4 linked regions of the Arabidopsis thaliana genome follow. The protein of the gene in region 3 interacts with the protein of the main gene of each other region in a pairwise test. Each region holds a gene or a part of one and is shown on either strand. Other genes may lie near its edges. The genes, in order: AT3G42630, NARA5, HSP23.6-MITO and NFD6.

Region 1 (7,734 bases), on a different chromosome or scaffold from region 3:
GAAGCGCTGGCGACCATTAGATTCAGGAGTGGAGTGGAGATGACAGATTGTACCGGGATTTGCTAAACGTAGAAGATACAGATATATAGGTAAAAACCTGTAACTAGCCATATCATCACCCCTTACAGAGTTTACTACAACCTCTCTAGCTCTCCATGCTGTAGAATATGAGATCCAAACATTAAGATCATTTAAGACCAATTGAGGTAAATCTACTGCTCTTAGACCCCCTTGCCTAGAACTATATCTATTCTTCATTACCTTGCCTAAAAGTTTGTAAGTAGCATGTTTACGATAATCCTTTCGACTCCCGATCTTGCAAACATGGATAGAATCATAACCTGTGATTTTGAAACATTTTGAATTGGGTATGACATGTGCAGTCAACTGCCATGGACAATTACGATCTACGCAAACCATCTATAATCTTTTAGGGCATGAGCGAGTTTGTTTGTAGCGGAAGCACCTTTTGATTGCAAAAAGTCGCATAGTCTACTGTATGACGTGCCTGTTTTTGAAAACACTTCCCACATACAAAGGATGACCTGACGTACTCAATTCAACTTCTGTCTCATCGACTCGAACATTGGCTAAATCATCGAATACTGGAGCAGCATCAGTATCGAGTAACTCATTCTCACCATTGTGCAATGTAGAAAACCCTTTATACACTTCGTAGGCTTCACCTGTTGTTACTAGACGGTGGTCAGATTCAATATTTAACCCACTTGCAGAAGCCCCTCTTAGGCATTCTATACCCTCATCTCCAGTTATGTTCTCAGCTATATCATCCACATTTGCAGCCATGTACTTAACTAATTCACCTTCGCATCTTGTCTCCTCTGCACAGACTCTAATGTACGTACATTGGTACAAACCATGTTGACACGTCGGGGATGGAGCAGAGATTGGTGTACTGTCAACCAAAACAGCAGTGGGTTCTACATGATGTACATGTTTACCTGTCGACGTACACAATGCCAATAGACGAGTGAATTCCCCTGGGGTTCCACGGTTTGTTGAGTGTCATTCACGACGTCCTCCTCAACATGACCAATTCCATAGTCTTCCACAATCAGATCACCCTATTTATTGTAATCGTAATCTTCGCCACTACCTTCACTACCGTCGATTGTAGGGTCGAGGGTACTTCCATATATTCGCCAAACATTTGATCTGCATCCACATCCTCCTCTTCATTATCCTCATCCTCATCACCTTCATCTCTTCCATCCTCATATACATTTATATCTTCGTCAAACTTATGAGCTGCATCAACATTTGCAACCTCTGTCTCTGTAAAGCTTCCCTTGCCGATAGAGTAGAAAGACACAAACAAGTTAATAGAAGGATCGCCATTACGAATCAACATAAATGTATCCAGGCTGATTTGATTCTCAATATATACTGGAGGGCGATTACTTCCTATCATATCAGACATATTTCCAAGCATCCAATAATTTATTATAGGCTTGCATTCACTAATCTTCAGCACCGTTAAACAAGTTGGATTTGTTTTTTGCCCAAATTTTTTATCTCAATTATGTAAATATCTTATAATATAATCTCTATTATAATAGGTAATCACTGAAAAGGATTCAACTTTATGGATAATATAAGCAGAAACAACAAACCTGCATGATGATTCACTAAAGGGTAACCCTAAATGTAACTAAAAGTTCAAATTTTTATCACAAACCCAGTTTTTAAGAAAGAAGAAAGAGTGAACATACGAATTCTCTGACATCCTCGCCATGCAAACCCTAAAGAATATCGAGAAATCGATCCAGTAACAGAGCATCGTACTCGATAAGCTTGTCGTCTTTAGAAACCTTGCCAGGAGCAAGAAGCCTGAGCTGAGCATCAATAGAAGCCATCTTCTCCAAATTTCTTGCAGCCATGGTTTGGTTGATGCTTTTTGCTCTCTCTGGTGAAAAGCTCTTTTGGTTAAGTGAGAGAGATTCTCAATAATTTTATAGATTGATACAATCGGAGACAATCAAGGAAATATATCCGATAAAGCTGAAACTAAAAAAATGTGTAAATCAAGAAAGATTAGTGAGATACCTCGGTTTGATTCGAAGTTCGTTTGCAATTCTACAATCCCCAAAATTTATGATTGTACCTCAGAAACAAAAAAGAGGTGCTAATCAAAATCAAGAAAATTCTCACACATATAAAAACCAAATAGCTACGAAAACCAAAACATGTAACCGAACAAACTGTAAACCTTGGGTAAACAACTCATCACCAATTGGCAAAGATCTATGAGATCTTACTTTCCAAGTGACCATAACATAAAAAGGAGTCGGAAAAATCGATGAAGATGCATCATAAAAAGGACCGAGATTGAAATACAAAAAAAAACTATAAACTATATTGCTATTGCTATGCACTAAAATCAAGCTACGATGTTTGTGTTTGAGAGGAGGGATCCTATATTTATAGGTATTTTCAGCATAAGGTTTTAGGGTTTTACATATGACAGCGTAAATTATACGGGCCTAATATCTTTGTTTGAAAAGCATAAGCCCGTTAGGGTTGTTAGGCGACTTATGATTGATTAGGTTTGATTAGGATTAATAGGCGATTTAGGTTTGATTAGGGGCGCCAGAGAATAGGAAATTTAGGGTTGAGAGTGAATTAAACCTTTTTTTTTTCTACACATTAAAATATAAAAACAAAATAATAAGTTATCTCATTAGTTAGTAAAAATATTAATTTATCCTTAAAAACCTTAAGAGAGGGAGGGCAAATCCATCAGTTCATTTTCTGAGAGCGAACATGAAAGTTTTTGACATCTGCTTTAATATATAAGATTCTCCACCGCTTATGTTTGGGCCGCTACGAATTCAAGATGTTCTGATTCGAATGATTGAGTGATTATGAAATTTTTTACAAAAATGATCGATAGGTATTGTGTTGTTATGGGTTTTAAGAAATATTTAAATACTTTTTTAGAGACGGTATGCTTGACCTTTTGTAATATTATGGTCGAATTTTCAAATCTCATAACTATATTCTATCATTGAAATTTAAATTTTTTTTTAAATACTCTAGTTGGTATTAAATAACATTCCTTAGTTTTGCCTCGTTTGAGCTCTAATTATTAATCGGATGACAAAAAAAATAGTTAATATTAAATAGTGAAATCTTTTATAAAAAGAAAAGAAAACATTTATTTACTAGTGGGGATAATGTTTCTAAAGCCCAATAAAGGCCCAAACGTTCTCTGAAATAACACCCTAATTATAGCTTCTGAGGCCCAAATCTCTCTCTCTCCCCTCCGGAAATCTCCTCGATTCCTCCGTCACCACCGTACCGTAACCGAGACTGGTCGCAATGTTGTCGCTCAATCTATCTTTGAAACCCCAACATCTCAAGCTCTTATCTTGTTACACGGATTCGTCTGCTCCTTCAATCGCGAAAAAGGTACCTACACACTTGCTTCTGTTTCTTAGTTCACTTCATATCTTGAATTTTAGGTATCTCTCTACTTTGTACAGTTGATCAAGGAATCAAAGCTATCTAGGGACTTCAGTCAAAAGATACAAATCGTAGACTACGCTCCATTAGTTCAAACTTTAAGCCAGAGAAGATTACCTGATGTAGCTCATGAGATTTTTCTCCAAACGAAATCAGTTAACTTGTTACCAAATTACAGAACCCTTTGTGCTCTTATGCTTTGTTTTGCTGAAAATGGGTTTGTTCTTCGAGCACGTACGATTTGGGATGAGATTATAAACAGTTGTTTTGTACCTGATGTCTTTGTAGTCTCTAAGCTTATATCTGCTTATGAGCAATTTGGTTGTTTTGATGAAGTTGCCAAGATCACCAAGGATGTTGCTGCAAGGCACTCGAAGCTTCTTCCGGTTGTGTCTTCACTTGCTATATCCTGTTTTGGTAAGAATGGACAGTTGGAACTGATGGAGGGTGTTATAGAGGAAATGGATTCAAAGGGAGTGTTGTTAGAGGCTGAGACTGCTAATGTGATTGTTAGATACTATAGTTTTTTCGGTAGTTTAGATAAGATGGAGAAGGCTTATGGCCGGGTTAAGAAGTTTGGTATTGTGATAGAGGAAGAAGAGATAAGAGCTGTGGTGTTAGCGTACTTGAAACAACGGAAGTTTTATCGGTTACGCGAGTTTTTGTCAGATGTTGGTCTCGGTAGAAGAAATCTTGGAAATATGTTATGGAATTCTGTATTACTGTCATATGCAGCTGATTTTAAGATGAAAAGCTTGCAGAGAGAGTTTATTGGAATGCTTGATGCGGGTTTCTCTCCTGACCTTACCACCTTTAACATTCGCGCTCTTGCGTTTTCTAGAATGGCTCTCTTCTGGGATCTACATCTCACTCTTGAACATATGAGACGTTTGAACATTGTTCCGGATCTTGTGACTTTCGGATGTGTTGTCGATGCATATATGGATAAGCGACTAGCGAGAAATTTGGAGTTTGTATACAACCGAATGAATCTGGACGATTCTCCTCTTGTCTTAACTGATCCACTTGCATTTGAAGTTCTGGGGAAAGGGGATTTCCATCTTAGCTCGGAAGCTGTTTTGGAGTTCAGTCCACGGAAAAACTGGACGTATAGAAAGCTAATTGGAGTTTATCTCAAGAAAAAGTTGCGGAGAGACCAGATTTTCTGGAATTACTAGCTACATGCCACATCTTTGCTGCAAAGACCGTCACTCTTTGCTCACTATCACAATCCCCCTGATAAACTTTTCCGATGCTTGAAATGAAACATTGAGGTTAGAGAGTCTTCTTGCTACTAGATTTACATATAAATCATACATGCCTGTATTTACAATGTTTTATTGTTAAATAGATATGTATATTGAATTACATACATATTATTAATGCACATTTTTATCCGGAGTTGTGGACCATAGAAAGACATATTGACTCCTCAAAGTAAATTCTGCATGTTACATTGAAATCATAGGCTAAATTTGAGATGCACTATTTTTAGAAAGTGTAGAGAAAAGGACAGGAAGAAATAAGCGAAAGCTTTGGTAAGCCACCAAACCTGATTACTGGAAGAAAAGAAAAAAGTTCCGAGAATAGAGTTAGATCGCTGGTGAGGGTTTTAAATGGAACACAACAATGGTTGTTTTAGAGTGTGTTATTCTTTTGTATTTATACCTTCTCATAGGTTTCTTGTAATACACGCTTCTTCCTCTCTCTCCCTCTCTCTTATGGCCTCGTCTTGAAAGCGTCTTGCATGCTAAGAGAAGGCTTTAGAGCAAGGAGAGAAGGGAGAAGTTGATTTATACGTCCATCGGATATATCTTCTTTTTATATCTGTCTCTCTTTTAAGGAAGAAAAATGGCGACTGAATTCTCGTGGGATGAAATCAAGAAAGAAAATGTGGACCTTGTAAGATTTTTACAGAGTTTAATTCGTTCTCGAGATCTTGAACTGTTGAAAATCTGTAATAATTTTTGAATGATTTATATTATAGGAGCGGATCCCTGTGGAAGAAGTGTTTGAGCAGCTGAAATGCTCAAAAGAAGGTTTGTCCAGCGATGAAGGTGCTAAAAGGCTTGAAATATTTGGGGCAAACAAGCTTGAAGAGAAATCAGAGAACAAGTTTTTGAAATTCTTGGGGTTCATGTGGAATCCTCTCTCATGGGTTATGGAGTCTGCTGCAATCATGGCTATTGTTTTAGCTAATGGAGGAGGAAAGGCGCCGGATTGGCAAGATTTTATCGGTATTATGGTGTTGCTTATCATCAACTCCACCATAAGTTTCATCGAGGAGAACAATGCTGGCAATGCCGCTGCTGCTCTCATGGCAAATCTTGCACCAAAGACTAAGGTATGCAAATTTCTCAATACATATATATAGGTATGTATTTTCTAAAAAGGAGAGTTATATAACCTATGTGTGAATGTAGGTGTTGAGAGATGGTAAATGGGGGGAGCAAGAGGCTTCAATCTTGGTTCCGGGTGATTTGATAAGCATCAAATTGGGTGACATTGTTCCTGCTGATGCTCGTCTCCTCGAAGGAGATCCTTTAAAAATTGACCAATCTGCTCTTACTGGTGAATCCCTTCCAACCACCAAACACCCAGGAGATGAAGTATTCTCTGGCTCAACCTGCAAGCAAGGTGAGATTGAGGCTGTTGTCATTGCCACGGGTGTCCACACCTTTTTTGGCAAGGCTGCTCATCTTGTTGACAGTACCAACAATGTTGGCCATTTCCAAAAGGTATTTTAGAAATGAACAACATCTGAGTACTGTAACTCTTGGTCTACCTAGGGTCTCACGGCTGGGTTTTTATTTTCCAGGTTTTGACATCAATTGGTAACTTCTGTATATGCTCAATTGGATTGGGGATGTTGATTGAGATATTGATTATGTACCCTATCCAACACCGCACATACAGAGATGGTATTGATAATCTATTGGTGCTTTTGATCGGAGGAATCCCAATCGCCATGCCAACAGTTTTGTCTGTAACAATGGCTATTGGATCACATAGACTCTCTCAACAAGGTGCCATCACCAAGAGGATGACTGCAATTGAAGAAATGGCTGGAATGGATGTTCTCTGCAGTGATAAGACTGGAACTCTAACCCTTAACAAGCTCTCTGTCGACAAGTCCTTAATTGAAGTGTTCCCAAAGAACATGGATAGTGACTCAGTTGTATTGATGGCTGCAAGAGCTTCCAGGATTGAAAACCAAGATGCCATTGATGCTTCCATCGTCGGAATGTTGGGTGATCCTAAAGAGGTACGTACTTCATATTTGTGAAACTTGGATTCATTTTGTTTACTGTCCTTATGTTGCAATTGTTTTTGATGAAATAAATAGGCAAGAGCAGGAATCACAGAGGTGCATTTCTTGCCCTTTAACCCTGTAGATAAACGTACAGCGATCACATACATCGATGAAAGCGGAGACTGGCATCGGAGCAGTAAAGGAGCTCCTGAGCAGGTAATGTAACTAATATGCTTGGTTTTACTTTTAATTTAACTTACTATCTTTATCTGAGTAACTTTATTATTACTAGATCATTGAACTCTGCAATCTCCAAGGAGAGACTAAAAGAAAAGCACACGAAGTTATCGATGGTTTTGCTGAACGTGGGCTTCGTTCTCTTGGTGTTGCTCAACAGGTATGTCATAGTTAGACTCATCACATAATGACATAAACATATTTCGTTATATGGTTTTAAGAAAATTCCTTTTCTATTCAAATGCAGACTGTGCCTGAGAAGACTAAGGAAAGTGATGGTAGTCCATGGGAGTTCGTTGGTCTGTTGCCACTCTTTGACCCCCCAAGACATGACAGTGCGGAAACTATTAGACGAGCCCTTGAGCTTGGTGTCAATGTTAAGATGATTACCGGTGACCAACTTGCCATCGGTATTGAGACTGGTCGTAGGCTTGGCATGGGAACCAACATGTACCCATCCACTTCACTCCTTGGCAATTCAAAGGATGAATCATTAGTTGGCATCCCTATCGATGAGCTCATTGAGAAAGCTGATGGATTTGCTGGAGTCTTCCCTGGTAATATATTCAAATAGTCAAATGTTAAAATATTGTTCAGTTACATCAGTCTCACTTGGTTTGTTCAATTACATTGTTTTCATTTGGTTTACACAGAGCACAAGTATGAGATCGTAAAGAAGCTACAAGAGAGGAAGCACATTTGTGGGATGACTGGAGATGGTGTAAACGATGCTCCAGCTTTGAAGAAAGCGGATATTG
Region 2 (8,999 bases), 870 kb from region 3:
TTTTTTAAAGAGTCCTTTATACTCTCCCTGTTTTTGGGTGCTTCGCTCGCTCACTGATTTTTGATTCGTCGGAAAATCTATTTTCGAGCTCGGATTTATGTAATTCCTTATTCTCCTTCTGATTGCGATTGTTGTGTTCATTAAGGGTTGTTGGGATATCGATTAACGGCCCCTATCGAAAAAAATAAGGGTTGTTATTATTTTCATTTCGCTTCATGTTCAAGGCAAGTATCTATCTCTTCTTCTTGCTTTTGTAGTTTTAGAATCTAAATCCCATGGCATCAACGTTTCGATTACTCTTTCAGGGAACTCCATTTTTCTTGCATTTGCTTTTTTTGAGGTAGAGTCTGTGCTCCTATATGATTCCATGGATTCGTCGTATACTTTCTCAACTGAGAATGTTTGACTTAGAGAATCTTCCATTTTTTTTTTTGTCTTTCTCTTTTCAGTGTTACTATCATTTTAGATCTTTTTTTTGTTTTTCCTTCTCTGGTTGACTGTGTTTGAGGTAATGCTCAAAACGTGATTCTTTGTGCTCATTATCTTTTCATATTCTAGTTTCTGGAATCTTTCTGGGTATTAAGCATTTGATGATTTTAAAATTGTATATTTGTTGATTTTATTGAGTTGACACCAGGTTTCTTGTTGACATATGCCCAATTCATTCTGATCGTTGATGATGATTGATTCTTGTATCCGTTCAATGTAGGTTATGTTTGGATGATAGATACATTTTGACTTTCTCATACAATGAGTACACGAAGAAATGGCATTTCCAAGCATCAGCGAGGTGATAAATTTTGTGGTGAAGGGCCAAACTGGATACTAATTGCAGGGGGTGCATTGTTGAGCACATTGTCCATTCGCTTTGGATACAAGCTAAAGCAGTCGCTTGATTCGAAACCTCAATCAAATGGCTCTGCTGGATTAAAACGTACTTACTTTATCGCTGTGTTGCTTAACATGTTTTATAATTTGGTTCTAGTTTTTTTCTATCACTAAATGAAAGCCTCTTGTGCAGCTAATGGAACATCTGAGAGGCAAAAATCTACAAGCTGTTGCTTACACTCTACCACATCTTCCTGTACACAAAATAATGATTTTTGTTGCTTCCGCTCCATTCCAGGTGTGACTTTGTAACTTTCTGTTTTGCCTCATACATATTTGTTCAATCTACTAAACAAACGCTATATGCTTGTTTCTTGGTCTCGCATCATGTCTTACTGGGTTTCCTTTCATGAAGTTAAAACGATGTGTGATATATAGTAAAATCTAGTTGGGAGAATGTGTAGATGTTGTTATAGAGTTCTAGCCTCTGTTATCTTACCTCATGATGTATTTGTCAACTAGGGGAATCCAATTCGAAGTTATGGAATGAGTAAAATAGTTACAAGATTTGCCACCTTGCAATAACTGGTTGAATCGAATATCTCTTGTTTCGTTGTGGCATATTACCATTAATTTGCATCAATTGGGCTGGCAACTAGGGAAGCAGGTTTTCTCCATTGATGGCTGTGTCTAGTGGCTGAATGCTAAAAACAGTTACTAGTTTTGTTATCTACCAAGACCTCGTTAAGCATAGTTACAAGTTTTGTACTATTAGATCCAGACCTGAGTTATGTTTTCTCTTTGGAAAATCTCTGAATCCTAATATTCATGTAGTCCAGAGCAAACAGTCGTGTATGGATCTTATCAGCCTTTGCTTCTTTATTTTTATAGGAACTGAGAGTGTGGAAGGAAAAGAGGTGACAAGCGAGCAAATGATATCCGCATCTGACACTTCACTGCCTCTTGTGACAGTTCCTGCTCCATCGAGCAAAGAGAATGGAGTCATGTGGGCAACTTCTCCTGATCGCCTGGAACTTCCCCCAAGACCATACAATCACAATTCAAACTGCTCAGATTCTCCTTGCGTATCTGAAACCAGCTCAGACATTTTCAGCAAACGAGAAGTAATACAGAAACTAAGGCAGCAGCTGAAGAGACGGGATGACATGATACAGGAAATGCAAGAACAGATTCTAGAGCTGCAAAACTCGTATAACGCACAGACGGCACACTCAAGCCATCTCCAGGCACAGCTAGACACACTGAACAGAGATCTGTTTGAATCAGAAAGAGAAGTTCAAAGACTGAGAAAGGCAATTGCTGATCACAGCGTGGGATGTGGCGCGGACAGCAATGGCAAGACATCTCCGGTTGGACCTTGGAATGGCGGGTTTATGGACAGCGAAAGCAATTATGAGTCACAAGAAAAGAGCCTAAGGGATGGAGAAAGAGTAGAGATGTTGAGAAAGGAAGTGAGTGAGCTTAAAGAAGTGATAGATGGGAAAGAGTATCTACTTAGAAGCTATAAGGAGCAGAAGATTGAGCTTTCGCAGAAGGTAAAAGAGTTGCAGCAGAGACTGGACTCACAGCTCCAAAACTTATTGTAGGTGGAAAGGTTAGGCATTGTGCATACTTGCGTCTCTTATTTTTTTTTTCGGTTCTTTTTCCTTTTTCGAGAAAATGAATCTTAGTATGTACTAAGAACGGTGGAGATCAAGATTTTCAGGTTCTTTCTGGCTTTCTGCTTTCGTTTTTGAATGTCTTGATTCTGTTTTTTCTTTCAACATTTGGTGTAAAGGTAAATAGATAGTTGTTGAAGAATTTACCGCGGGAATAGCTCTCTACTTTTTTTTTTTTTTTATTCTCCGTAATTGGTAACTAACCCGATAATTACAAACGCCACGTATAAGGATGTGTTCACTAGAAGAATTAGCCAATTTTAACACAAATGATAAATAGTATAAACAAATTTTAAATTTATAAATAGACGCAACATACATTATTATTTTTAAGATACAGTTAAAATAAAATTGTTAGCAATTATGCTTATTCTGAAATTTTGGGTTTGAATATAAATAAGAAATAGAGTTTTATCCTAATAAGATTTATATAAATAAACATATAAAGTCAAAGTCATACTTTATCCTCTCAGAGGCCGTCTCTCGGGTTTTGCTGGTCTTCCTTGCTCCTCTCGCTTTTGAATGGAGATGTGAGCTTTCTTCATTCAAAGAGCAAAACTATCTAATTCCATGGCGTTCTCCCTCCTCTCTCCAATTCCTACCTCTGCCTCTCTTTTTTTCACTCTCTCCGCCATTACCGCTTCTAATAATGCTTCCTCCTCCTCTCTCTCCCGTCTTTACTCTTTATATCACCCCAAAGGAACCTTACGAACCAGAACCGCGACCTCGTTTTTCGGAGCTTCTGGGAACTTGAGGATTGTTTCCATGGCGGAGAATAGGCAATTGGTTTGTAGGATTGGTGGCGGAGCCGGTGCTGAATTGGATGATATGGATGAAGGTGAAATCCAGAGGATTGGAAATGAAGACGAAGACGACGATGAATTCATACAAGTCCATGCTAATAATTCCTCTGCTGCTTCGCCTGAGAGATGGGATGTTTTGGGTCTCGGCCAAGCCATGGTGAGTTTTTGTTTCCTATAATAAATCATTCTAGCTTCTAGCTTCTAGCTTCTTCTTATCCTTGAAGCCACCAAATGGTTGAAATATGTGAATCTGGATCCTAAAAATACTTACTTGGTTATTGATGATGTGTTTTATGTTTTAGGTAGATTTCTCTGGAGTTGTGGATGATGAGTTTCTAAAGAAACTTGGTTTAGAAAAGGGAACAAGGAAACTGATTAATCACGAGGAGAGGGGTAAATTATTACAAGCAATGGATGGTTGTAGCTATAAGGCGGCAGCTGGAGGCTCATTGTCCAACACTTTAGTTGCTCTCGCAAGATTAGGTTCTCAATCCATCTGTGACCGGCCTTTGAATGTGGCAATGGCTGGCAGTATTGGAGGTGACCCTCTCGGTAGCTTTTACGGGTACTAAACTGTCTTACTTATATGGCCCTTCTCTTTTTTTTTGGCTAATTGTGTATGTAGTTAGACATAGTCTACTTTTTATTCCCCTCTTAAGAATTGGAGTATGGAATTATGTAGAGAATCGTTACTATACAAGAGTAGTTTGTAAGGCGTCAAACTAGCCTATCATTACATTTGGTTTGGTATACTCACAAGTTTTTTTTTTTTTGTTTCTATAGGACTAAACTACGACGAGCAAATGTAAATTTTCTTTCTGCTCCAATCAAGGACGGAACAACAGGAACAGTGATAGTTCTCACAACTCCTGATGCACAACGTACTATGCTTGCATATCAGGTAGGATTTCTGATCTCAGCAAATTGCTCTTGCAATGTATTACTATTCAAAATGTAAGGGTTTCCCTTTCTTCTTCCACAAGAGTCGAGCAAAGTTTAACTTTTGAAGTAGATGACGTGCAAGATCATTGTAGTGGTAGGATCGATTTGCTTCCATAAAGCAACCACATTGAGATAGTAGTAGCATTGTTAACTCTGATAAGTTTTTCAGTTTTATTGATCCCACTAAATAACAAACCTAATGTTATGTATAATTTCAGGGAACATCCTCTGTCGTTAATTATGATTCTTGTTTGGCTAGTTTGATAGCCAAGACAAATGTCTTTGTTGTGGAAGGCTATTTGTTTGAGCTTCCTGATACTATAAGAACCATAACAAAAGCCTGCGAAGAAGCCCACAGAAACGGGGCACTTGTTGCTGTGACAGCATCAGATGTGTCCTGCATAGAGAGGCATTATGATGATTTCTGGTCAGTTTCTTCTCCCTTTACTTGAATACATTCTTGCGTCTATTTGATTTTGGGTCAGTTCCATCGGATAGGAACAGTTGGAAATAATACGAAGAGAGTGATTATCTTCTGTAGCTTGATAAGTCATAGAAGCTTTGATGCTTCAAGCTGTGAATGTCTCTCGAAAAAACGAAACTTGAACCTAGATAAATGCTGATGGTTTTCTGTTGATTCAGGGACATTGTGGGGAACTATGCGGATATTGTATTTGCAAATAGCGATGAAGCAAGAGCGTTTTGTCACTTTTCCGCAGAGGAAAGTCCAATTTCAGCGACAAGATACATGAGCCACTTTGTTCCGTTTGTTTCTGTTACCGATGGAATCAACGGGTCATATATTGGAGTAAAAGGAGAGGCCATCTACATTCCTCCGTCCCCATGCGTGCCAGTTGATACATGTGGTGCTGGAGATGCATATGCTTCAGGGATCTTATACGGTATCTTGAGGGGTGTCTCTGACTTGAAAGGAATGGGAGATATGGCTGCAACGATTGCAGCAACTGTGGTGGGTCAACAAGGAACCAGGCTTAGGGTTCAGGACGCGGTTGAGCTGGCTCGATCACATGCCTTCCGTCTCAATGGTTCTGGTGTTCGAACAGATGTTGGGTCTTGATGAAACCTCTTTAGCTTGTGATTTTTAGCTTTTTGATTCATTCTTTGTCTTCATGTAGTAGTGCCTTTTGCAATTGACTTGTAATCTTGTATGTAACATTTTAGTATATAGTATATGTTTCCGACAAAGTTTGAGACATTTTTTGTTTTTGATTTGATGGTCTCATAGAATATTCTTGCAGAAACTATTATTAAGTTTTTGTGAAATGCAAAATTGAAATCCCATAAGCATGTTTAGCATTGACAGTGTTATAACAAAACTCAGACATTTTGTAAGACAGAATCTTGTCCAGTTTCTATATGATTCGCACTGGTGAAGTTATTAACAGAGGGTAGGCCAAGAAATTTCGAACATGCAGAGGCTTAGAGTAGCTCTCCGAAAGCTCTGAAACAAGAAAGAGTTCTGCTTCATGTAAATTATTGATCTGGAAAATTTTACAAAAAAAATTTGGACCATTTCTCGATTTATGCGTGTCATCCTTGCGCAGGGGCCATGCTAATCTTCTCTGTATCGTTCCAATTTTATCGGATGTCCCCGAAGGGACAAGCACTACTTCGACTCTAACTCTATATAAACTCTGTTTCGTTTTACTGTATAAGCGATGTGGGACTAATATGATGTTATCTCTTATATTAAAATGGGCCTCTGTTTCTGATTCTCTGTTAGCCCATTATTTCATTTATGGGCCCAATTTATCGTGGTTAAGAATCAAAATCTTAAAAAGTGTAAATTAGCTTCAACTTTTACTGCTCAGGTTTCTCAAGCGATTAATTTGGATCCAATTCCATAAACGATATTAATAACAATAAGGTTCATTCGCGAGAGTACCTTTACCAAGAAAATTATATCATTTCCAGGCTTCAGCAATTTTTTTTATATTACGAGCAAACCAAGCATCAACAATTTGATTACATGGAAAGAAAAATCTCACCTACGACTAGGAGACGAACAAGTATACGAATAAAAGATCAACGAACAACAATTTGACGTGCGATCTAATTAAGTTCTAAACTAGAATGATTAAGGACAAATCATAAATGTAGGTGGTAGTACTAGGACTTTGATTTAGTTTGATTGTTACTCAACTCCATTCATTGTGCTGCTTACCATAATTGTGTTATTATTTAATTGTATCGATATAGATGCAAAAGAGACAAAACACAAAGTGAGGCCTGGGCATTTCGGTTTAATTTCGGGTTCGGTTTGGGTTCGGTTCGGTTCGGTTTATTTGGGTTTTGTAAAACTCTAACCATAGTCAACCGAAGTTAGTTTGGTTTGGTTTGTGTTTGGGTTAGTTCTAGGTCGGTTCAGTTCGGTTTGGATCGGTTTTAATTCAGTTCGGTTTTAATCTGGTTCAAAAAATCAATTAACGTAACAAGTTCAAATCAAAATTATCAAATGCCTAGTACTTAGAATTTAAAAGAAAGGAAAATGCAAGAAATCCAACAACGTAACATAACAATCTTCCATGATTCCTTCACCCAATGTCATCAAGAAGAATCTGCAACAAGTCAATAACTTGCATATAAGTTTATAACTATATAAAGACGAAACGAAAACAATAAAACCAATCACTTCTTACACTGAAACAGAGTATTAACTAGAATATTGGAAACCAAAACAGAGTATAAACTATTAAGAACAGAAAGAAAAAAACATAAATTAACAATTTTAAACTTTTCAACAACAGATAGCACCAACATCGTAAAACTAATATATAGAAAGGAAAGATCATTACCTCTTTAATCTTTTTCTGCTCCCACTAATCGTTTACTTAGACATGTACCTATCGCTCTCACTTCTCATTCTGAGATGGAGGATTAAACTCTAACAAAATAAAATAAAAATTAGACACTAACATGAACAGAGAGTAAATCTATAAGTGATTGTCACATATAATTATTATAAAGAAATAAAGTAAAATACCTTCTTCAAGTGAATCCATAAACTTGTTCTCTTCCTCTAGCTTATCAAGAGACTTCATTGCTTCTGAACGAAGTGAAGCACGTAACCAATCTTGAGTCAAAACCAACGCTTCAACCATATCAGGAGTCAAACAACTTCTATATTGATCTAGGATACGATCACCCGTGCTAAAAGCAGACTCCGACGCAACCGAAGATACTGGTATTGCAAGAACCTCTCTAGCCATTAAAGACATGATTGGGTATTTTGAGCTATTTGTCTTCCACCAATCTAGAAGATCAAACGGGAGCCCCAAACTATTTTCAGTAGTTACATGCAGTTCGTCTTTTAAATACTTTACCAATTCATTTACCACTGCTACAGAAGTCTTCTTAGCAACCATAAATTTTAGAAAAGGATCATCAATGTTGTCAACCTCCATATTCTCAAAGTCTTGGTGTACTTGGGTTACGTTCTCAGCGTCACAGGAAACAGAAGGTTGTAGATTTGAAGTGGCATATCGAACACTATATATGTCAAATAGTTTCTCCAAAACATCCATCACGAGTTCCTTCATTTCAACGCATTTTGGATTACCTTTTCCATAGATAAGTTCAAAACTGAACATTGTAAATACCATTTTGCGACGAGGATCAAGTACACCAGCCACTATCAATATCTTATTGATTTTTTCTGTACCTTCCCAATATTTGTCAAACTTGGCCGTCATTGCAGAAGCCATCTCTGTCAAATCAGAATCTTGGCTAAAAGCCATTTTTTGCACACTTGACTGAATTTTGCAGATCTCATTGTAACAACCATTTGATGTCACCTTTATAGAAGAAGAGAATGCTAAAGTCGAATCATAGAAAGCTTTCAAGAACCTTACCATATGACGAGCATTGTCCCAATCAATTGCCATTGGAGGTCCGTCCCTCTTCTTTTTATTAGAATCAACCTCTTTGAACCATGCATCATAAGGTTTATCCATATCAGCCATCCTATCAAATGCAACTTTATACTTAAGTGCACTTTTCAACATCAAGTAGGTAGAATTCCACCTAGTAACACAATCCAATACCACACTTCCTCTTGTTATCTTCTCAACCTCCACCCAACGCTTAAATGATTCCAGCCTTTAATTAGAAGACCTCACATATTTTACAGCATTACGAACACTTACGATGCTATTACTTATATCTTCAAGACCTTCATTGGCAATCAAGTTAAGAATGTGTGCACCACAACGTATGTGCATAAAATCACCATTCATCATCAAAGCATCACTATTTCTGTTACTTAGCCTCTCTTTCAAAACAGTAATAGCTTTATCATTGGCGCTTGCGTTATCCACTGTGATAGAAAATACTTTCTCAATACCCCAATCATCCAAAGATCTTAAAAACTGATTGGCGATGGTCTTTCCCTTATGATCAGGAATAGGACTAAAACTAATAATTCTTCTATGCAATTGCCAATCCATGTCAATAAAATGAGCAGTAACGACCATATAACTCAATGTCGTAATAGAAGTCCATATGTCAGTGGTAAACGACATGGCCTGCCTATTTCGACTTAAAATAGTCTTCAATGCAGTTTTTTCAGCTCTGTACAGACCAACAGCATCCCTAGTAATTGTTCTTCGCGATGGAATAGTAAACCAAGGGACAGCCATCTCACAAAAATGTTTAAACCCATCATTCTCCACAAAAGAAAACGGCAACTCGTCCATGATAATCATTTTTACCGTTGCTTGCCTACACA
Region 3 (7,255 bases):
AACTCGGTGCAGGTATCATTCTAGTATCTTATCAATATGCAAATTGCAAACACATATGAGTTTGCCTCTTAACTGTGCAGACCGGTACCAGCTGAACTTCACAAGGAATGCATATGATAACACACATTGACTAGTCGTTTCACAGCTTAAGTCGTTTCACAGCTTTTAACATAAAAGAACTAATAGGGCTATTCCATCTTCTGTCTAATATCATAGAAACCGAACAAGAGTAATAAATAAAAGGGTCATATACCCAAACCAAACATCCAACATAGGGGCATAAAGAAAATACGAAAAAAGACTTACATAAGGATTAGTTTCACAAGCTAAAATGCACAATACAAAAAAGACTCAAAGATGCATACTAAAAAAGTAAAAAGACAAACCGCTCAAGATTCATAGGCTTTGAATATCATCTTTGCAGTTTCATTCACGAGTCCAGACCTCTGCAAACATAGCTCAAACTGCTTAGCCTTAAGCTTCTTCCATTTCTCCTCCACTTCTCTCTTCTCAGCTCCATCCGCAACCTTTGCCCAAACCGCAGTTAATGTGGATTCATCCAAACCACAAGAACTCCCATTATCTGCATTGAGGAACGATGCAATCTCTTTACCAATGGAGAGACCTGTGTTCACAACCTTTGCCTCTGTTCTTTCCGGTTTCTTCGCTTCTTCTTGTTGTTTCTTGGGAGTAGAGTGAGCTACTAACTTCATCTCTTTCGGTGCAGGTGTTCCTCCAACTTTCTTCCTTGATGATTTACCAGTAACCAAAACACCATTGCTTCCCCAAATCTTTCTGGACAATTCAAAACCTTTTTGCTCAAGATCTTTAGCAAACTCAATATCATCTTCAGTCTTTCCCTTCTTAAGAGAATTCTTCACAGCATTATTAAACTTCTTCTTCAACCTCTGAAGTTTAGTAACAATTTGGTTTTTGGTAGCATCGAAATCGATCAGTTTCTTCACATAAATGCAAAAAGCATCAATATCCTCATAAGGATCTCCTTTGGTAGATGTGAAATCAATAATACCTTGAAGCAAAGCGATTTCATCCGTCTCACTGAACAATCTCTGAAACATCTTCTTAGCATCCTCTGAAGAAATCTTCTTAACCTCATCATTAGTTATCGGCTTCTTCACATGCTCAGTGTCCGATGTCTTCTGCTTCTTAATAGCTTCAGGAGCAGCTTCCTTCAAAGGACGCTTAGCCGTTGAACTCTCAGGTACAGTCGCGGCAGATCCAGACGTCTCTGGAATTGGTTTAGTCCCAACAGGCTTCAGCTTGATCGTCTTAGCAGGCTCGGACTCGGGCTCGGGCCCAGAACTGGACTCCGATTCAGATTCGCCTTCAGAGTCAGATTCAGGCTTTTGCGAAGACTCGACTTTCTTCGGAACTTCAGCAGAAGATTCAGATTCTTCTCCAGATGAGCCAGATTCTTCTTCTTCACTGGAAACAGGAGGGCTTTCGACCACTTCCTCCGCCTTCTTCGGTGCCATCGAACAAACAGTTACGAGAGAGAGAGGAGACAGAGATCTGCGGTTCTATTTTCCCGTCGCCGTCGATTTGCTTTGCTCTTAGGTTTAGGTTAATGTCGAGGTTCTGTTTTTTGTTTTTTGCCCTACTTTTGTTTTTTTAATAAAAGTCGATCGATTCATTCAAGTTGGGCTGTCCAACGCGCTATTCTACTCGAACGGGCCTAACACTTTTACGCGTTATTAATAGACCAGTCCGTCGACAACTTACGCAGCCTCAGAATTCGTCTTAAAGTCTTCCTAGTTCCTAGTCTACAGAAAATTTTAAACCCAAATACGTTCCATAAGCTCCAGTCTCATAACCACAAAGGCATGTAAACCGACCGAGTTAGCTAAAAGAATACACGATTAGGAACTTATTTAATTAGTGCTTTGATTTGGAATGCAAATTTTGGTTTAAGCAAGACAAAAAACCACCGTCTCAAGAAAGAAACATATAACCTTTTAGTCTTTAGAGACTACATGACTCAACATCGACCGTGCCAAACTACACACACTTCTTATTCAAAGACCTATCAACAAAACTAGAACAGAAAAAAACGTCGACGTTTTTAGTTGATCTCGATCTGACGAACATCATTTCTCTCTTGTTCTTTCATCTTCGGGATCACAACTTTCAACACTCCGTTCTTCATCTCCGCCTTAATCTCATCGATCTTGTAAATCTTATCCGGTAATCCAATCCTGCTTGTGAATCTCCGATTACCGCTCTCTCCTTCCTCGCCACCATCTTCCTCGTTTTTTCCTTCTCCTCTAATCACCAGAGTGTCCTGCTCCAAAGCCAGCTTCACATCCTCTCTGCTCAGCCCAGGCATGTCGATTCTCAGGTACAGAGCATCGTCTTTCTCTTTTATATCCCAACCACGACGAGCTCCTGAAGCTCCCATGCCACGAGTAGCTGATAACAGAGGATTCTCCATGAACTGGTCCATCAGATTCAGCACTTGACTAACGCTCCTCGTCGGCGAAAACGGATCAAACACATCTACACAAAGACACAATCAATCATGTCAAGATTTTGAGCTCAGTGTAAGCTAATACCTGTTTTCTTACTAGATTTTCGCTACGTTAACAACAGAGAGACATAGATCTGGAGGAAAAGCGAAACAATTGGTTTGTTACCTGAGAAGAAATCACCACGGCGGCGAGGAACAGAGCGGCGATATAAATCAACGCCGTCTCCATTTTCGCCGTCGTCGTCGTAGCTCCTAACGGCGTTGGTGTTGAAGAGGCGAGAGGAAACAGCTGGACGAAGAACACTACGGGAACGTGGAGCGATGGAGGATGATAGGAGTCTCTTAAGAGCGAGAGCAGATGCCATTTGTAGAGAAACAGGAAGCTTTGTTGAGAAAGTTTTAACAGTGAGTTTAGTATTTATCTGAGAACTGTGTGCGACGAAACTGGAGACAGGGGAGGACTATATACAGGAGTTAAGTGTTGAAGGTGGGATATTGTCAGTGAGTGAATGTTCTGGAGAAGTGGGGAGATTGATATTTCTCTGGATGTTTCTAGAGATCCGTGGCTCCCAAGCTAAGTGAAACAAATATAAATTGTCTTGTTTATTAACGGGCTACGGCCCATCGGTATTAGGCCTGTTTTAGTAGATTTATGGTCAACAAGTCAAATGACCCTAGAACATGGTACATGAATGAAAAGGACCAAAATGTGGACAGAAATCAACCAAAGGCCGAGGCGGCCACCAACCACCGAACGTGGGAAGGTCTGGTTCGGGCAAACATTCGAAAAGACCAAGAAGACTCGGATAAACAATTAAAAAAATCAGATATTGGAGAAGGCAAATATATATTGGTGTTGAGGTCAAGACTTAGAGTTTTGACGTTATTTAAAAAAAAATATTTTTGGGTAAAGACTAAAGAGTTTGACGCTATCTTGAGGTTTATTTATTCAACGTAGACTATATACTATGGGGCCGTTCTGAATTGGACCTTTTAAGTTTTGATTTTATTAAAACGCCATGTTGTTTAGTCGAGAGATAAACAAAAGACGTGTCTCTAGCTAAGCTGACCTTCATATATGCTTTGACATAATACATTAATTATAATCTCTCTTTTTGGTGTGTGTAAAAAATACACTCTATATTTTATTATGTAGACACACTACATGCAGAAGTGTTCTTACCTCTGCCTCTACGTGCTGTCAACTCCTACAGATCTTCAAGTACCCCAACCGTTATCTAACAGATTAAATATAATATACCCCTAACTATATTATATATCACAATTGTTCAAACCAGTGTATATAGACTAGACGATTCCTTGAACCATATAATTCCAGCTTTACTATAAGAGTCTTAAGGACAGGGGCAAGTGAGTCGAGAAACGAAACCGAATATAAGTCTTGTATGATATAGTCATATAGTTAACCGTCGTCATATATTAAAGAAGAAAATGGCAACCACCGGTCGGAGACTCCGTCCTCCATCGCCCAATAATAACCGGAGCCGGACTATAAGCTCTTCAATCTCTCTCCCAGTGTCCTTAAACGCCTCGTTATCGTCTTCTACTTCTTCATCTTCTTCCTCTTCGCCTTCCAATTCAAGCAAACGAGTGATGATAACCAGATCACAGTCCACAACAAGATCCTCCAGACCCATCGGATCATCCGACTCTAAATCCGGCGAGAACATAATCCCGGCGAGAAACAGCGCATCAAGATCTCAAGAGATAAACAACGGTAGAAGCAGAGAGTCGTTTGCTCGGTACTTGGAGCAACGTACGCGTGGTAGTCCTCGTAGTAACGCTTCATCGAGAGGGGTAAAGCCGGGAGCCAGCTCACCATCGGCGTGGGCGTTGTCTCCTGGAAGACTTTCGACTATGAAGACGCCTCTGTCCAGCTCAGCTCCGACGACTTCAATGTGCATGACGCCGCCTGAGTCACCCGTAAGCAAGGCCAAGATAAGAAGCGGTGGCGGTGGAGCGGTGGCAGGAGTTTTGAAGTACTTCATGGCGCAGAAGAAAGTATCTCCGGTACAAGAGGAGGATTATCACCGGTTTAGGATTTTTCAAAACAGATTACTTCAATGGAGGTTTGTTAACGCAAGAACTGAAGCCACTATGGCAAACCTTAAGATCAACGTTGAGGTACAAAAACTATATGAAAAATATTTAAATTTGTATCTTATAAATATCTATTAATTTGTTTCTGTGAATGGTTTCAGGATCAGTTGTTTTGGGTTTGGCTTAGGATATACAAAATGAGGAACTACGTTGTAGAAAATTTGATTGAAATTCAAAGGCTCCGTCAAGATATCAAAGTACGTGAAGTTCTCAGCCTCCAAATGCCTTTACTTAATGAGTGGTCAAAAATAGACGCAAAAAACTCCGAAGCGTTGAGCAAGCTAACTCGAAAACTCCATGCTTTGTCTGTCCGATTACCCCTCGTACATGGTGCCACGGTTAGAATTTCTCTCTTTGGGAAACCAATTTGTTTATAAACATTTTGTGTATTTGTCAAGAAAGCAGAAACTAATAATTTGGAAGTTACAGATAGATATGGTGTCGATACATGAAGAAATGGTCATAGCTATAGAAGTCATGGACGAGATCGAAGACGTCATCATCAAGTTTCTCCCACGAGTAAGTCCACTTTATCTATACAGATCATTTTCCTAACTTTTTTTGTATAGATACATGTAAAAGAAATTAATTTAAGAATGTCTTGGGTGATTAAATATCAGCAGGTTGAAATAATCCTCTATGAGCTGACAGAATTGATCGGCATGTTCAATCAAGAATTGTTATATTTTGAAGAAATGGACGAGAGCCTTTTATCCATTCCTCTCTTCACGGTAATTCATTATCTCCTAATTTCATTATATATATGTGACCGGTCCGGTAGTTTTATCTATAACTTGAATGGTTTGTTTTTTATTGGTTCAATTTGGATGTGGAAGCTCCATAGGCTAAAATGGTGAGATAATTTTCTTTTAACAGGCAAAGGAGAGTAGCTTGAGGGTCCATATTCTCCAAAAGACTGAAGAACAGAGATAATGTTTCTCTAATAACTCAAACGTTAGGACATGTAATTAAAATGTTAATCACATTGCACATTTTGCAAACTGGATTGTTGTTGATGCCAGAACTCGCTATCTAATTCAAGACGCAGTCTTCTACTTCTAGATATATACGATTGAAGCCATGTGTTAATGTGTATTACAAATTTCGTTATGCAATTTCTACATACACCTTAATGAAAATATACTTATACAAAAAATTAGACATGAAATCTAAAAATGTCTATCCAATCACATATACACACGTAGAAGTGTTTACTTCTCACAAAGAATGTATAAAAATAATAATTGTAATTTCCAAAGCTATAAATATAAAGATTGACTTAACTTACTAAAAGCGCTATTAAGTCATTTGGTTATCCAGCTATTCAGTACTACAGAGGTCTCGGGTTCGAAGCCATCTTTTTCCTAAATCCCCAATTTTTTTTTTTTCCCTCGTTTCCGAATCTTTTACCGGCGAGACTCTGCCATGGATTCAGGCGAACAAAAGTCTAAGGTAAACCTCTACTGATTCTATCTTCTTGTTCTCCTTCCTAATTTCATCTCAAATCTCGAAAAATTTGCCGCGAAAATTGCGTTTCACTGACCTTACTCCGTTCCATTTCTCGTCAGCGGAGGTTCCAACCAAATCCTCCGAGGCCTTCTCGCCGTCTTCCGATCGCTCCAACCTCAAACACGTAATTCGTTCTTCCTCGATCATTTCTTGTTTATGCTTGTAGAAATCTTTAACTGCTTATACATGTAAAAGCTTTAAATTTTCTCTAAACACAGCGAAGCTGAGGAGGATGAAGAGAATATAAAAGCATCTCGCCAATTTGACAGACGTATCGTCGGCGTATGTAGAGAAGCTTCTCAGTTCTCAAATCTTGCTCTCTAGTTTCTTTCCTTATTTAATTTTGTCGAAAATTCGTTAACAGTTTAATCGTAACTTCCCTAATTTCACTTAAAATAATCAAAATCTTATACATTAGATTATGATATATGCGAAATACCAAAACGGTGTGCTTTCTTCATCGTAGCTAACAAGGAATTTTCTTTTTGGTTCTGACCTTTACTAGTTTTGAATCTGCCTCATCTCCTTTGCTAGCTTTTGTTGATCGCATCAATTTAACTGCCTTGTTAAGTGACTATGAAATGAGTTGGTCCAGGACCCCTAACATGTTCATTGTAGCTTATACTGGCTTAGTTCTTATCTCTATTACTTAATCCAAATGCTCAATGTTGAAAACTAAACTTTTTTGTGTTGTTGTTATTGCTGACTGGCCAGAGGAGACCCAAAACCGAAACGAAAGGTATGTTGAAAGTTATATGTGTATTCGCTCGCATTCTTCATTTTAACGAGTTGTGTTTGATCTAATTTCTGTAAATGAGTTATTAGAAAACCATGTGTGTGGAAGGTGATAGTATTAAATATCGTTCTTGAAAAGCTTTTGAAATCTTGCAGCTTCTTCTCCTGAAGTTGCATTCCAACCAAGCTTGTCACCACTTGCAATAAGGTCCTTTGGTGTTCCTAAAGAAGATGACAAGCCCAATTCTGATGTTAATCCGTCTTCTCCTGCTAGTATTCTTCCTGCTGTTTCGTCTGTTACTGCTGCCCAAGAAGATGGAGAAGAGGTTCATAATTTTGTTACAAGAACTGGGGATGACTACGTTGAACCTTGGGTAACTAGAATCTTCAGATAGAAAAAGA
Region 4 (7,726 bases), on a different chromosome or scaffold from region 3:
TTTGAAGAGTATCCAAACGCTCTGCAGATTGCACTATTTCTTGATAACACGCAGGTAGGACTTTAATCTTTCTATAGAACGTAGTTTCATTTCATTCTTTCTGCGTGTGAAGCATTTGGAAAAATCAATCCTCTATGTTTTATTTCGAGTATTTGCGTAGACATTTTTGATATTTAATGTGCTGTATGGTGTATTTTCTGTATTGCAGTATGTTAAACAAGTATTTACCTCATGTACGGATCTGCTGAAGAAGAAACAGTTCTGCTACATGATTGCTCGTCATGTAAGTCCTAACTATCTCTACTTTACTACAATTCTATCTCATTCTTTCTTTTCGGTATGTATGTTTTGATTTGGATCTTTACTCCTATATGCTTTGATAGTTGGTTGTGCTTTTATTCGATTGTATTTTACTTTCCAGCTGTTACATAAAGTTAGCAGAAAAAAAATGAGAACATAGTTTGTAGTTGTAATTCAGCATGATCTAGAGGGAATTTAAATATGTTTCTTGAACATTATTTTTAGTCCAATTTTGTATTGTTTTTCTGGGAAGACCTCATTCTTTAGCGACACTGGCCTCCTCCTATTCTCTTCTAAGGCACACACAGATTAACTGCTGCATCGCTGTTTAAAATTTCCATTCATTTAGAGACACAATACCCGATTGACATACTTTCTTATACTTCTCCTCTCGTCGTATGCCTCCCTGCAGGGTATAACCTTTGAACTTGACGATGAGATGGTTGCAGATGATGATGACCGGGAAGCCCTACAGGATATTGTTAACAACACTAAGTTAAGTGAAGGATATCTGACCCTTGCAAGGGATATTGAGGTCATGGAGGCCAAAACGCCTGAAGACATCTACAAGGTAAATCAGTTTTAATGTGTTAGGCTTGCTACTCATTTATTTAGTTACAAATTATGTTTCCCTCAGTCTTTGACCTGCCCTTTTTGAATTTTATAGGCTCACTTACTCGACGGCAGGGCTAGCTCCGGTGCAAGCGTGGATTCTGCTAGACAGAATTTGGCTGCTACCTTTGTCAATGCATTCGTAAATGCTGGTTTTGGTCAGGTATGGTTGCAGATTATAATAAAATAGATCTAGTGGAAGACGTGTCCTCTTAATATATTTGCTTATCGCAGGACAAACTAATGACAGTACCTTCAGACTCAACCACCGGATCTTCTGGAAACTGGCTCTTCAAAAATAAAGAACATGGCAAGACTAGTGCAGCTGCTAGTCTGGTATACTTTTTCTTATTTGATGAATTTATTTACTGTGCTCAGATCATGGAAGTAAGAATTGTAACCAGATCTTTTTGTTTCCCTATCATATAGGGTATGATTCAACTGTGGGATGTGGACTCTGGACTTTCCCAACTCGACAAATATTTCCATAGTAATGATAATCCTATCATTGCTGGAGCACTGCTGGGAGTTGGGATTGTAAATTGTGGCATTAAGAACGATTGTGATCCTGTGAGTTGCTGTCGTGTTTGATTTTGCTGGGACCATTTGTGCTAATATTTGCAGCCACTCTTCCATCTTACTCAGCCTTATTTCTCAGGCATTGGCACTTCTTGGAGACTATATAGACAAAGAGGATTCATCTGTCAGAATCGGTGCTATCATGGGTCTTGGAATTTCATACGCAGGTTCCCAAAATGACCAGGTACTTGTTATATTCTTTCCCATATTACTACTTGAATGTTTCGGGTGTTCACAAAACTTTAACACGTACACTGTTTCAACAGATTCGAAACAAATTGTCCCCGATACTGAATGATGCAAAAGCGCCTCTTGATGTGATTGCATTTGCTTCACTTTCTTTGGGAATGATATATGTTGGTTCCTGTAACGAAGAAGTAGCCCAGTCTATTATATTTGCTTTGATGGATCGAAGTGAGGCAGAACTGGGTGATGCCCTCACTCGTTTCTTGCCACTTGGTCTTGGACTTCTATACCTGGGCAAACAGGTTAGCAATGTGTTTTACATAATCTCGCTCTTTGTTCGTATATCATTATTTGCATTGCTTGACCAACATCAACTTGTTCCAATATCTACCAGGAAAGTGTAGAGGCTACAGCTGAAGTTTCGAAGACCTTCAATGAGAAGATTAGAAAGTATTGTGATATGACACTTCTTTCTTGTGCTTATGCTGGAACTGGAAATGTCCTAAAGGTATCTAATCAATTGTGCTGGTGGTTGAGTGACATAATTCATTACTTGTTTAGTTGTTGACTCCTACTTATATTTTCAGGTACAAGACCTTCTTGCTCAGTGTGGCGAGCATCTTGAGAAAGGTGACATCCACCAGGGTCCAGCTGTGCTTGGGTTAGCAATGGTTGCTATGTCTGAAGAACTGGGAGTTGATATGGAGATCCGTTCTCTGGAGCGGATGCTACAATACGGAGAACAAAACATTCGGCGTGCTGTGCCTTTGGCCCTTGGTCTCCTTTGTATATCCAATCCAAAGGTAAATACTTTTGTAAATGTAGTTTTACTGCACCTGCTTACAATTATTAGTGGGCGTCTAGAGTAATACTGGGTTTTTAATATTTTTCCCACAATTCCAGGTGACTGTAATGGACACCTTGAGCCGGCTTAGCCATGACACAGATTCGGAAGTTGCCATGGTTAGCAATCATTTCGCTTCATAGCCTGTCCCATATTATTTAGCTGAATAGTATTGAGAGAGGACTGATCTTTCTTTTGACTCGTACAGTCAGCAATTATATCATTGGGACTGATTGGCGCTGGAACTAATAACGCAAGGATAGCCGGGATGCTTCGGAACCTCTCCAGCTATTATTACAAAGACATGAGTCTTCTCTTCTGTGTAATGTGTTCCTCATTTTGGTTTCTGTACCCTGCGGTAAGCTGTTGTTCTTGTTGGAATTATTGTAACTAACTTGGTAAGTCATTATGCAGGTGCGTATTGCTCAAGGGCTTGTGCACATGGGAAAGGGTCTCTTGACACTCAGCCCCTTCCACTCTGAACGGTTCTTGCTATCGCCGTAAGTTCATTCTTTTTGTCACCAATAGAACCAAATCTTTTTTGATAGTTGGATGTTCAAAGGTTTCTCATGCGGACCTTATTTATGCAGAACCGCACTTGCTGGTATAGTGACACTTTTGCATGCATGCCTTGACATGAAACCAATCATACTCGGGAAGTACCATTATGTGCTGTACTTCCTCGTTTTGGCGATGCAAGTGAGTTCAACTTCTGTCCTGTGTTTCTCCCTCTTGTTAGTTAGGTCTGATGAACTTGCTATGATTTGATATTTAATCAAATTTTGTTAAAAAAATGTATAGCCAAGGATGATGTTGACAGTGGATGAAAACCTGAAGCCACTGTCAGTGCCAGTGCGGGTAGGACAAGCAGTTGATGTGGTTGGGCAAGCGGGTCGGCCCAAGACCATAACCGGTTTCCAGACACACTCCACACCTGTTCTCCTGGCTGCTGGAGAGAGAGCCGAACTAGCCACGGACAAGTATGTTATTCTTTTTCCTTTCTTCCTTGTACCCTTTATGTTGCCTACTTAGGTGTCTGATTATAAAACTCGGATTTGTAACTGGCAAACAGATACATTCCTCTGTCGCCAATACTAGAAGGATTCATCATCTTAAAGGAGAACCCAGACTACAGAGAGGAGTGAAGAGAGAGAGCTTCTGCTTCCAGCCAGTTGTCACTAGTTTTACTATTTCGTCTATTATCTCATGGTTTTTCTACTCTCCGTTTAAGCTTTGTTTCATTATCTTGGGATCTTTGTATGACCTGACGCTTTTAGTTATATAAACTTTAGTCTCTTTTTTTTTTTTTTTTTTTTAATCGCCACCAAGTCGACACATATTCTTGCCAAAACCAATATTGACTCAGTTTAAAAAATAACGATCCATAAAATTTTCCAATTACTTTGATCACATAAAAAAAGTGAAGAAATGTTAGCCACTTGCATAGTGCCGTTCAAAGACGCACAAATGAAATTGGGCTTTCCTTTGGCCCAAAAGTGTTGCGATCGCGTTTATAACAAAAGACTAAGGTTTCGTCCAAACTAAGATCGCGTTTATAGGGTTTATCATCATTTCCCGTAATCGTAATCGGAGTTCAGGCTTCAGCATTCTCTCTTCTTCTCTCTCGCAGCCGTAGTTTTTGATCTTCTCTTCAATTCTCTCTCCTGATGGCCACGTCCGCCGTCCTCTCCGGTGCCAGATCGATGCTTCGAGCTGCTTCCTCACGCAGCGCCGCTGCTTCTACTGGCCGCTTCGCCTCTCAAGCGAAATCCGCTCCACCATTGTTTAGAGCCACTGCCAGAAGAAGCCCACTGCTTTCTCCTCTCCGGTTAGTCTCTCTCATACCCATTTCCTTATTTGAGCTCATTTCACAGTTTTGTGCTACTTGAAGCTTGAAATGGGTTAAATTCGATCGAATTGTGAAAAAAAAGAAGGAACTTCTCTATGTAAAAATTACATTTTTGCGTTAATCATGTTTCCAGATCGATTATTCACAAGTAAAAAAGATGAAATTTTGCATTTTGATGTTGATTTTAAATGTGAAACTCTCTTATCACATTACTTAAAAGAATTTGCATTTTTGTTTGTTTTTGATGTGAATAGAAATCCTGTGGAACTGAGCTTCTGTGTGGAGTCATTGTTACCATATCACTCGGCTACAGCTTCAGCGCTAATGACTTCAAAGCTTTCTATCTCTGGCCAAACCTATGGCTGGCTCTCTGACGGTACTTTCTCACATCCTTCAATTTTGTAATGCTTGAATAATGGCTTAAATATGTACTAAATATTGAGTGGAGATATGCTTTGTTTGATTGATGAAATGTGTTTGAGAGCTGTTTCTGTATTGGCTTTCTAGATTGTTGTATTAGACATAGGTAGAGAACTAGTTTAGATTTTGCCATTTAAGAAGCTTTCTCGATCAGTGTAGATTCTTTTTGGTTGTTGCTATGGCGAAAAACTGGATCAGTTGTTGTTGTCTTTCTGCTTAACGTTGTAAAGAGATAGCGGCTCAATTGGTCTAGTTTTTCGATCTTGTAGGCTGACACAAGTGTAGATGGAGACAACGAAGCCAAGATCTGGGTTTTCATGCAAATAATATAAACGATTAGAACGGGTTTCAGGCAATAAGATAGGCTTTAGATACACATCAAGCAATGGTTGATGCTGCATTGTGTTTTAAAAGAACTGGTTCTTACATATCTTCTTAAAAAAAATACATGTACCCGGAAACGTGTCTTCTTTTCTTGTTGGTTATAGCATTTGAGTTATTACTGATTGGTCTTATACTCCCAGCTTGCAATGATGATGTGTGATGAGTTAGCCAGAGGAACAATGAAGCTACAGTTTATGTACAAAACCTCTACCTTTTAAAGCCTTCTTCTTTAGAAAAACTTAGGAACGAAAACCCTCTTAATTTTGTTTCTGAGTTTCTTGGAGAGCTTTTCTTTGTTTTCAGCCTATTAAGTAAGACATGTTGTATTGGTTGGACGAGTAACTGATGTTTGGTATAATTTATCAGCTTGCAAAGAGGACTTTTGATGATGTCTACGCGTACCCAATGCGAGATTGTTGATTGCGAGAGAAGGTTTAAGAGTATTTAGGCAAAGAATAATTGTTGTACTGTTCAAACACAAATCATCTCTTTGTCTTTAGTTTTCATATCAAAGACAAATGTCCAATATCTTTTGAATCAAATCTCTATGATTTCTATTACATCAACATACAAACTCAACAAAATTGCATCACTTCTACTAATTTAAAACTTGGAAACATCCATGAGTTTGAATACTATAAATTATAATCAAGATTCTACCAAATATATATATATATATATATATATATATATATATATATATATATATATATATATATATATATATATATATAATCAAGAATCTCATCAAAATAAGTAGGGAAAAAGTAGCAGATTTGGCAATCAAATTGGCACATTAACTTGTCGACCCTTAAACTTGAAAGAAGGTTTCAAGTTTCTTCTTCTTGTCCCTTGGATCTTATGAAACATTGTATTCTCTGCCAAAGATTCACGACTTGAATGGGCAGCTTTGTTAAAGGATCTCTTTGTCATTAATTTTTCATATTAAAAAAACAGATCCTTTCGAGATATAGAATTACATCTCTGTTGAATGTGGATTGATACAAAGTACAAACACTACAGTTTCTTTGATCCTTAAGTTTCTGCAACCACCACCACTAAAGCTCGCTCTTCTGATGGCTGTGTCTGTTCTTCTTCTTGTGGAACTGTTTCTTCTTCTTGTGGAACTGTTTCTTCTTCCTGCGGGAGTGTTTCTTCTTCTTGCTCATTCTCAACAGGCTCAACTTCCTCGGGAGTTAGCTGTAGATTTTGTCTCCTATACCGAAATATCACCAGGATGATAAAAACTGCAGAACATGAAAGACGTATACGTTATATTTTGATACAAGGCAAACCAAATACTCTGTCAACCATTGGTTAGGTAAATTACCTGCAAATATTCGGGTTCTTATGCTCGTCAAGTTCCAAAACGCTGTCACCGCAGAGCCAGCCAAGATCTTCTTGTGTGAGCAGACTCCCCATGCTTCACCTATTCTCGTTTTCACTCTTTCAACTGCACAAATGAAACTCAAACCAGTTCAAGAATTTAAACCATTGGACCAGTTAAAGACATCTACAAACACTTGACTATTGATTCTAACACAATTGACAATATGTGAATGGGTGCAATTCATTATTCTTCACCTTTTTGGCTAATCTGATGCGTGTAACATGAATACAGCTTTGGGATGGTGAAACTGAGGAAGAAACCTGTTTCAGTAACCATACACACATATCATCATCACAATTCCTATCATGCTTAACAATGTTTCAGCTTATGTTCCAAATGTTAATTACCAAATGCAGATAGCCTCCACAGTGTTATGAGATGACCATACTCAGCTCCAAGTAGCAGAAATGGTGTCACCTGTGACAAAAAGAAAATCAGCAGATGAAAGGGCAAGTAAACCACCAACACATAGCAATCACCAAAACTGATTTGATTTTGTTTACTTTGAGTGTCATTGATGGTTCTCCTGAAAAAAGCTCACTAGTCTTCGAGATAAAAAAGTTGGTTGCAGGAAGCACTCGTCTAGCTGAGCGCAAGACATCATCTTCACTCACATGGAACGCTCTCTTTGTGTCTTCATTTTTCCTAAAAGTAACAACACATTGAAGGATCACACTAACTATTAGCTTATGGAGAATGCCAAACAAAAGAGACCACAGAAGTAAATGTACCTTTGACAAAGAGTGTTTGACAAGAAGGACCCGCAAAGTAACACAAGTCCGAGATTGGAAACCGCCGAGAAAACGCTTCAAAACAAAGAAAAAGGTCATGACTTTCACAAATCTAATTGAGCCTACAAACACAAGCTAGATATTTGGTACCTAAAGTTGACTCCTTTGGCAAAGCAAGAAGATAGGAAAGACAAACATCCAAAACCAAACCAGAGAGTCGATTTCGCAACATCTCTCCACATTACCAAATCACTTATAATCTCTCCAATCAGATTCAAATCGCTCTGACATGTATCTTCACCAAACCCAACACACAAGCAAATCAGAATTAAGCAGAGAAACACATAAAGCAGATAATAAGAGAAAGAAGAGTACTTGGAAGATCTGAGGAAGAACAAAGAGGAGGAGCTGAACTTTGCTTATCCTTCTTA

The links.
Region 1: the proteins of HSP23.6-MITO (region 3) and AT3G42630 interact in a two-hybrid assay, tested with the Arabidopsis thaliana proteins (one large-scale study listed by BioGRID).
Region 2: the proteins of HSP23.6-MITO (region 3) and NARA5 interact in a two-hybrid assay, tested with the Arabidopsis thaliana proteins (one large-scale study listed by BioGRID).
Region 4: the proteins of HSP23.6-MITO (region 3) and NFD6 interact in a two-hybrid assay, tested with the Arabidopsis thaliana proteins (one large-scale study listed by BioGRID).

Annotation. Positions count from the first base shown.
Region 1 is NC_003074.8:14,718,972-14,726,705, forward strand, and holds AT3G42630 (Pentatricopeptide repeat (PPR) superfamily protein), read left to right. Parts: upstream 1-3,278; 5' UTR 3,279-3,342; coding exon 3,343-3,432; intron 3,433-3,506; coding exon 3,507-4,664; 3' UTR 4,665-4,948; downstream 4,949-7,734. Other genes in the region: AT3G42628 (phosphoenolpyruvate carboxylase-related / PEP carboxylase-like protein), read right to left, coding at 1,764-1,901; HA8 (H[+]-ATPase 8), read left to right, coding at 5,338-5,388, 5,474-5,830, 5,910-6,224, 6,305-6,751, 6,833-6,955, 7,032-7,136, 7,224-7,533, 7,630-7,734.
Region 2 is NC_003075.7:13,779,084-13,788,082, reverse strand, and holds NARA5 (pfkB-like carbohydrate kinase family protein), read left to right. Parts: upstream 1-2,948; 5' UTR 2,949-3,077; coding exon 3,078-3,467; intron 3,468-3,612; coding exon 3,613-3,875; intron 3,876-4,093; coding exon 4,094-4,211; intron 4,212-4,470; coding exon 4,471-4,679; intron 4,680-4,894; coding exon 4,895-5,330; 3' UTR 5,331-5,870; downstream 5,871-8,999. Other genes in the region: AT4G27610 (intracellular protein transporter), read left to right, coding at 751-934, 1,022-1,126, 1,720-2,435.
Region 3 is NC_003075.7:12,912,687-12,919,941, reverse strand, and holds HSP23.6-MITO (mitochondrion-localized small heat shock protein 23.6), read right to left. Parts: upstream 3,017-7,255; 5' UTR 2,854-3,016; coding exon 2,655-2,853; intron 2,518-2,654; coding exon 2,084-2,517; 3' UTR 1,832-2,083; downstream 1-1,831. Other genes in the region: AT4G25210 (DNA-binding storekeeper protein-related transcriptional regulator), read right to left, coding at 390-1,496; QWRF7 (QWRF motif protein (DUF566)), read left to right, coding at 3,941-4,633, 4,711-4,947, 5,039-5,128, 5,230-5,340, 5,486-5,542; AT4G25180 (RNA polymerase III RPC4), read left to right, coding at 6,035-6,061, 6,178-6,242, 6,337-6,400, 6,833-6,857, 7,010-7,227.
Region 4 is NC_003071.7:8,861,034-8,868,759, forward strand, and holds NFD6 (nuclear fusion defective 6), read left to right. Parts: upstream 1-4,064; 5' UTR 4,065-4,188; coding exon 4,189-4,349; intron 4,350-4,624; coding exon 4,625-4,775; 3' UTR 4,776-5,059; coding exon of another isoform or gene 5,060-5,064; 3' UTR 5,065-5,314; coding exon of another isoform or gene 5,315-5,334; 3' UTR 5,335-5,540; coding exon of another isoform or gene 5,541-5,560; 3' UTR 5,561-5,742; downstream 5,743-7,726. Other genes in the region: RPN1A (26S proteasome regulatory subunit S2 1A), read left to right, coding at 1-54, 209-283, 713-871, 968-1,075, 1,147-1,248, 1,342-1,482, 1,571-1,675, 1,758-1,979 and 8 more; AT2G20590 (Reticulon family protein), read right to left, coding at 6,210-6,421, 6,505-6,627, 6,759-6,824, 6,912-6,981, 7,068-7,209, 7,296-7,370, 7,446-7,590, 7,671-7,726.